Ovis aries: one gene and its partner. The protein of the gene in region 1 interacts with the protein of each later gene in a pairwise test. Links are inferred from orthologs where the notes say so. Each region holds a gene or a part of one and is shown in the gene's direction. Other genes may lie near its edges.

Evidence for each region. The genes of interacting proteins can lie anywhere in the genome.
Region 2: the proteins of FXR2 (region 1) and nucleoside diphosphate kinase A 1 interact in binary tests that used the Homo sapiens proteins (3 or more experiments, as listed by UniProt). The link is inferred for Ovis aries from reciprocal best matches to the Homo sapiens genes FXR2 and NME1.

The regions. Positions count from the first base shown.
Region 1 is NC_056064.1:27,141,687-27,145,431, reverse strand, and holds the end of FXR2 (RNA-binding protein FXR2), read left to right. Parts: intron 1-55; coding exon 56-134; intron 135-440; coding exon 441-550; intron 551-776; coding exon 777-863; intron 864-1,146; coding exon 1,147-1,369; intron 1,370-1,576; coding exon 1,577-1,774; intron 1,775-1,864; coding exon 1,865-2,065; intron 2,066-2,160; coding exon 2,161-2,256; intron 2,257-2,399; coding exon 2,400-2,500; intron 2,501-2,830; coding exon 2,831-2,926; 3' UTR 2,927-3,531; downstream 3,532-3,745. UniProt on the Homo sapiens protein: mRNA-binding protein that acts as a regulator of mRNAs translation and/or stability, and which is required for adult hippocampal neurogenesis. Specifically binds to AU-rich elements (AREs) in the 3'-UTR of target mRNAs.
Region 2 is NC_056064.1:35,341,278-35,345,022, reverse strand, and holds the start of nucleoside diphosphate kinase A 1, read left to right. Parts: upstream 1-960; 5' UTR 961-1,002; exon of another isoform or gene 1,003-1,085; intron 1,086-2,638; exon of another isoform or gene 2,639-2,748; intron 2,749-3,745. UniProt on the Homo sapiens protein: Major role in the synthesis of nucleoside triphosphates other than ATP. The ATP gamma phosphate is transferred to the NDP beta phosphate via a ping-pong mechanism, using a phosphorylated active-site intermediate.

The DNA.
Region 1 (3,745 bases):
ACTGTTTGAGATCCAGGTCCTCTGTTTTATTAATAACTCCCCATTCTTCTCTTAGACTCCTGAAGCATGCCGACAGGCCCGGAGCTATCTTGAGTTTTCTGAGGACTCCGTGCAAGTGCCCAGGAATCTGGTTGGTGAGTTAGGGTTGTGTATGTATATAAGAGAACATGTTGGGGGCCAGATGTGAGATGCTCTAAAGTGATTCTGGCTTCGCACCTCCCAGTGCACTTCGTTTCACGAGGACAGACCAAACAGTCTGTAATTGGAGTGACAAAAATGGGAGAATTAATTCCTAGCGATTGTGGTGTGAAAACACACTAGAAGCCTAGAAGCAGGAGATTCATTAAACAGAATTCTTGCATAGAAGCTGGAAAACTGTTTTTGCTCTTTTTTCTTTCCTTTAAAAAAAAAAAAGCCTGACTCCTCCTTTACCTATTCAGGCAAAGTGATTGGAAAGAACGGGAAAGTGATCCAGGAGATTGTGGATAAATCCGGTGTGGTGAGGGTTCGAGTTGAAGGTGATAATGACAAGAAGAACCCCAGGGAAGAGGTATGGGGCAACTACACCTAGAGATTGGTTTCCAGAGTAGATATGAATTGTTCTCCAAGCCATTCTTTTGAGGGCTGGGATTTCTAGGGGATAGGGCGTGGGAACTTTGGTTTTTCCTAGTAGATGGCAAGCCTAGAAAGATCCCTTTTGGGTAGGCTTCTTAGACAAGGTGGACTTAATACTTGATTTGAGTCTGTTTCTAATCTATGTGTCCTTTGCTCTCCAGGGCATGGTTCCTTTCATATTTGTTGGCACCCGAGAAAACATCAGCAATGCTCAAGCTCTGCTGGAATATCACCTCTCCTACCTGCAGGTACCCGAGCCAGGAGCCTGGGAGAGGAAAGACCCATGTGTACAGGGGACTGAGGAGCATGCTGGATGGAGTTAAAAGTGGTGGTTTCCAGTTTGTATCTCTGAGTAGAATAGAAACTGTTAGGTGGAAAATTGGGGCTGTGGAGTTGGAACCCATCATTTTCCTTTTTAAGCCTTGTGTTCCTGAGAGTTCAGGTCCCTAGGGACAGTTGGGGCAGAGAAGCGTGAAGAGAGACTATTGATCTTTCACCTACTTCTCCTTCCTTGTTTTTCTACCCAACCAGGAGGTGGAGCAGCTCCGCTTGGAGAGGCTGCAGATTGATGAGCAGCTTCGGCAGATTGGGCTGGGCTTTCGGCCTCCTGGAAGTGGGCGGGGCAGCGGCAGCAGTGACAAGGCTGGATATACCACTGATGAGAGCTCCTCTTCTTCCCTTCATACCACACGAACCTATGGGGGCAGCTATGGGGGCCGGGGCCGGGGCCGGAGGACAGGCGGTCCTGCCTATGGTGAGATATCTATGGGAGTGGGGGGTAAGCAGTGATGGGGTGTGGGAGGCAGAGGTCTGGGTGGAAGCTTGAGGAAAGGGTGATTGAGAAGATGAAGTGATTGGCTGAGGGACTAAGGAGTGAGAGGGAGAATTTTCCAGCTTGGGGGTGGGGATGGATCCTGGGATAGAGTGAGGGACCCTGTTTGAACGCCACTGTGTTCTTCAGGCCCCAACTCAGACCTATCCACAGCTTCTGAGACGGAGTCAGAGAAGAGGGAGGAGCCCACCCGAGCTGGGCCTGGCGACCGGGATGCCCCGACCCGGGGGGAAGAAAGCCGGAGGCGTCCGATAGGAGGCCGGGGTAGGGGACCCCCACCTGCCCCCCGGCCCACCTCAAGATACAACTCTTCATCGATTAGCTCAGGTACCAGAAGCAGACAGCTGGGCTCATGAATGTGGGCCAAAAAGAAAGATGGTGGACACTTGACTCCCAACTCCTTCTTCCTCCAACCAGTGCTGAAGGACCCAGACAGTAATCCCTACAGCCTACTGGACACATCCGAACCAGAGCCCCCCGTTGATTCAGAGCCGGGGGAACCCCCGCCAGCAAGCGCCAGACGCCGCCGCTCGCGCCGCCGCCGCACCGACGAGGACAGGACTGTCATGGATGGAGGCCTGGAATCCGACGGGCCCGGCATGACGGAGAATGGCCTGGGTAAGGGGTGTGTGAGGGTGTGAAAGATTGCAGCTGGGCAAGAATTGAGGGGGTGGGTGATTGATGCGCAGTTCTCATTTTCCCATGCCCCACAGAAGATGAGTCAAGACCCCAGCGTCGTAATCGGAGCCGCCGCCGCCGTAACCGTGGTAACCGGACTGATGGTTCTATCAGTGGAGACCGTCAGCCAGGTGAGCTAACACTGGATTCCAGCAGACTGCCTCAGAGAACAGGATGCCTCCTATCCTGTGGAAACTAGGGGTTGGGGTCCAGTGGGTGTCTAGGGGCTGGATACCTGGGTTCCTTCTGAAACTTGATCCTCTGTCTTCCCCAGTGACTGTGGCTGACTATATCTCCCGAGCAAAGTCTCAGAGCCGCCAGCGGCCACCCCTGGATCGCACTAAACCTTCAGAGGATTCTCTTTCAGGGCAGAAGGTAGGCAAGGAAGACATAGTTTACCCCACTACCTTTTGTGTTGCTCTGGAGTAGGGGGCACATGAAAACTCGCTAAGAAATCGCTTGTGAAATTGCAGGGAAGGCATGCAGCTGGAGTTTAGGCTACATGTAGAATAGTGAAAAGTTTGTATAGAAGAGAAAGGGCCATTTGGTTCATATTTTCTGGATCCCAGTAAAAGTGACTACTGGCGACCAACCACTGGGTCCCAGCAGATGCCTGGAGCTCTTAGGTGGTAGGGAATGGCATTACCTGAATTTCTACTGACCTCCTTTCCTTCCTCTCCATTTTCTTTCCCACTCTCCCTTCAGGGTGACTCTGTCAGCAAGCTTCCTAAGGGCCCCTCAGAGAATGGGGAGCTCTCCGCCCCCTTGGAGTTGGGTAGTTTGGTGAATGGGGTTTCATAAACCCTCCAGCCCGCATCCCTCCCTTCTCCATCTCGCTTGCTGCCCAACACCAATGGCCCTCACAGGCCCGACCGACCTGCGCTGGAGCTGCTCTTATCTAGGGGGGAGGGGGGTGGCACAGCAGCTTGGGTCCCCCCCAGCCTCCAGGAGCTAGTGGAGGGGTGTGTAACAGGGTCCTACCCCCTCCCTCTTGTCCACCCTACCCCCAGGGTGAGGGGAGTCTCTCTCCTTCCCCATCAGACTGGATGTGCCTTTATCCTCTAATGCCCCAATCTCTCTCTGAACACCCCCATTCTCCGCCTGTTGGTGCGGGGTGCTCCTTGACCCACCCAGATTTGACAGTTCAGGGGGGCTCCCCTGCTATCCCTCCTCCCATCCTGTACCCCCCATTTCTGGGGCCTCATCACTGTGGAAGACGGGGATAGTAAGGGTATAAGTGGGTGGGAGGCATGGGGAAGGTTTTGGAGTAGAACCAGGGGTGTGTATGAAGGGGGGTGACAAGGTCCCCCAGGGGAGGGGGGGACCAACCTTGTCTGGTGGATGAGAAGGCGTATTTATTTTTCACTGTACAGTATTTAAAAAGAGAATAAAAAAATCCAAATGGCTCTCTGGTTCCTGTACCTTCCTTGTGCCCAGTTTGGTCCATCTGTTTCTATAGGAGTGACCTGCCCTGGCCCTTGTTTCCTGTATCACCACAACTGGCTTCTCTAGCATTCCAGAGATGGTCTACGTCTAGGAATTTCTGACATTCCTGAATTCCCCAGGCCCAGGTACCCTCCTGGTCTAGAGAAAAGCAGCCGATGCCTTGCTGCTTCTCCC
Region 2 (3,745 bases), about 8.2 Mb from region 1:
GGCCTTCTACTGGGAAACTTTTATTCCTGTGTCTTTTGGATTTAAATGTTTTACCAGATCTTCCTAGGATGTTCTGTGTATGTGTGTGCTTGTATGCATGTGTTTTAGAAATCTGACCTCTTCCATGCTACTTAAAAAAAAAAAAAAATTAAGTTCTGGCTGTGCTGGGTCTTTGTTGCTTTGCCTGGGTTTTCTGCAGTTGCATCAAGGGGAACTACTCTCTAGTTGTGGGGCCCGGGGTTCTCATTGCGGTAGATTCTCTTATTGTGGAACAGTGGCCTCTAGCTGTGTGGATGGACTTCAGTAGTTGCAGTGGGCGGGCTCAACAGTTGCGGCTCACCCAGTCTTAGTTGCTCCTGGCATGGGGAAATCTTCCTGAACCAGGAATCAAACCATTGTCCCCTGCACTGGCAGGCGGATTCACTTCTCAACCTTCCCCTCAATCCTGCTTTTAAAAACAGCATTTACATAATATATTGCATACGAATTTGCTCATTTGTTTATTGTTTATCCCCATTCTCAATCCCATCGCCAGCTTCAAGAAAACTTACTGCCATACCCCAGACCCTGAAACAGCGCCTGGTACACAGACGCTACTTGGATAAGTAAATGTGCTTGGCTGGAAAGAACGAGTAAATGTAAAAACAGGGCTGCGGTCTACTTCTAGGTCAGAAGCTCTTCAGACTTCGCGTGAGCGCCACCTCTCGGGAGCCAATTTGGTCGAGAAAAAAGAAAGTGAATCAAAGAATCTTAACGAAAAAAATAAAACTTTTAAAATGGCGGAAGGTGGCTTGCCGGAAGTGCAGGGAAAAACAAGACTAGCAGCTGCTCCCTAGAACGACGCCGGACTGTCAGGAGGAAGCGTAGGCGAGCGGTGTGCAGCAAAACGGGCCCTCCTGCAGCCGATCTAGGCAGAAGCGTTCCGCGCGGGTGGGTGCCAGGAACCTGGAGGACCTGGGCGCGTTTCCGGTGCTGGCGGCCGCAGACGGTGTTGAAGGCCAGGTAGCAGGAGGGCTGGTAAGAAGAGTTCGGGCTCCTGAGAGAAAAGGGAAACGAGTGGAGTCTGGGAAGGAGGAGGTGAAGAGGTGGGACTTGTTCTGCTTAGAGAGCTGGCCGGGGGATCGGATCGGAGGGAAGCGCCCGACTACTGGTCCAAACCTGTCAGCTCACGTCCAACGCCACGTGGACTTATCTTTGCCAGTGGCTGCCTTTCCGCGACTGTAGCGGTTGTGTCCTGTTTCTGGGCAGCAATAAATGACTCACTCTGGTACTCTTGTCTGGAAAATCCCATGGACAGGGGAGCCTGGCGGATTAAAATCCACAGGGTCGCAAAGAGTGGGACACGACTGAGCACGCACCTACACGTACACACAGAATGAATGACAGCTGGGTGTGTCGGTGTATGTCCTTAGGGACTGTTTGTGGCGCTTTAGTCCCATTTTCTCCTGGGGAAGCGGTGCTTACCTTAAGCTTCCACTAGGAGTTCTCCACCAGTTTTGGGGCTTTGTCTTTTTTTCTTGGAGGTGCAGGGTGATTATCATTTAAGAGATTTTCTCTGCTCTTATCGAGTGCTAGGCCCTGTGGCTAGGTAGTAGGACAGACACAGAAGTAAACCATCCCTGTATAGATGCAGCAGGCCAGTGGAAAGACAGATAAACAGAAAATTCAAATATATTGTTACAGTGCTGTAATAAGAGGTAACTAAAGTACAGGAAGAGAGAGCCAGAAATTGCCAGAGGGATTGTCTTTCAAGATAAAAGGACTCCTTTCTCATCTTGTGGAGAAGGATCAGTTTCTAAGCCCAGTCTTCTCTGTAAAAGGAAAAGTCTAGAATCGGTTCTCTCTAGGCTTCCTTCCAGCGTGATGTCCCATGTCAGATATTACTCATGGTTTTAGTGTTCCCACAATCCACCATTTATTGGTCAGAATATGCTTTATGTCTCATGACATAGCATAAGTTGCATAGGGTTGGGTGATCTGGATTTTGGTCCTCATTCTGGTGCTCTGTAAAAGGAGATTGTAATGAAAGAATCTCTAATACCCCTTCTAGGTCTAAAACCATGACTGTGGCAGTAGGTCAAACCCCATTTCAGACTGCTCTTTACATTATCACTGTGGTTTCCCTCATCTGGATAGTTAAGAAAGATAGTGTCTTTTTAAAAATCTCCTGCCTTAGTTCTGCCACAGTATTGGGTACACAATACTGTGTTAGTTTGAAAACTGGCTCCTGTACACAGAAGGAAAGGAAGGCAAAAGAAAGGCCAGCCACTCAGATTGGTATGTGGCAGGTGTAATGAGCAACAGAGTCTGAGGCCTATCTTGGGTGGCTGCAAGATGAGTAGATCTCTGCTCTTGTCCACCAGAATTTTAAAATTATATATAGAGGCCTTAACTAGGTACAGTCACGTGGTTCAGTTCAGATGGCCTCAACAACCCCTGACTCTCTCAAGGCTGCTGTCCTTGGATCAGCCCCTAGTGTGAGGACAGTAGGCAGAGTGTAAATCCCAAGGACAGGGGTGGGGGTGAGGAGCTTGCAATTGCTGGGATCAGCTGGAGTGTCAACTGATGGTCAAAACCTCCTCCAATACTCCATCCCTTGTGACCAGCCCTTACAGTCTCACCCCCTCTCCTTCTGCAGGGTCAGAAGTGTGCCCTGAGAAGTCAGCAAGTGGTTCTGCCACGTGGAGGTGGCTTGTTTGGCAGCTATCTGACTGCAGTGGAGGCAGATGCCACAGCAACAATATAAAGGCACGTGCAAGAGAAAAGACAGATTTAGATGATTCTCAAAATAAATAACACTTTTCTCCATCAAGAGCCCCATAATTTGAACCATTGATTTACTAAGTCCCCTTAAGAGGCAGTAATAATGTCCAAGGCTATTCTGTTTTAGAGGACAGCTTTTCTCATTAAAGATTATTTTAGTATTCGGTTAAGATGGGCTTTGCACAAGTCATTTAAGACTTGCTGGATGAACTGAGTAAGGGTCTGTCTGTATGTTTTAATGTCCTCCAGGCCAATGGAGGGAACCAAGATGGTGGCTCTGTCCATGGGATTCTCCAGGCAAGAATACTGAAGTGGGTTGCCATTTCCTCCTCCAGGGATAGGGCCTAAAGCGCCCACATTTCTAGAGACAGTGGACTGGTGGTAGGGTGCTCATCTGCTACAAATGGACAGGTCATTTAGTCATTGTGAGGGTTTGAGCCATGGCGAAGGTGGGTTCAGTTTGGTTCAGTCGCTCAGTTGCGTCCGACTCTTTGCGACCCCATGAATCACAGCATGCCAGGCCTCCCTGTCCATCAGAGGCCTCCCTGTCCAACTCCCGGAGTTCACTCAGAGGAGGGTAGATGGAACTTATTCTTAACAACCCCTTCAAAGGAAGGGAAGTTCTTTCCATGATGTGCTGTTCCTTTGTGAGAAGCTCTGCCCAGAGGAGCATTGTGTACAGTGTTAGAAGCTGTTGCTTTGTGGGGTGTATTGGGTTTCTGCTCTCTTCCAGAGCTGGAACCAAAATCCTAGGGGTACTCTCCTTCTCTGCCACAGTGCCCAACTCAGACCTTCCGGAATTATAGGTACATCTAACTCAAATGGTAGCCCAGCTTGGGAAGTGCCCAGAGCTTTAATTTGCCTCACTGGTATTCTTTTCCATCTCAAAGGCAAAATAATCTGCTGCTCTAATAAGACTGCTGCTGTAATCCCCAGTCCCACGTATGCCTTGTCTTTACCAGGTGATATAAGGGATGGAGGC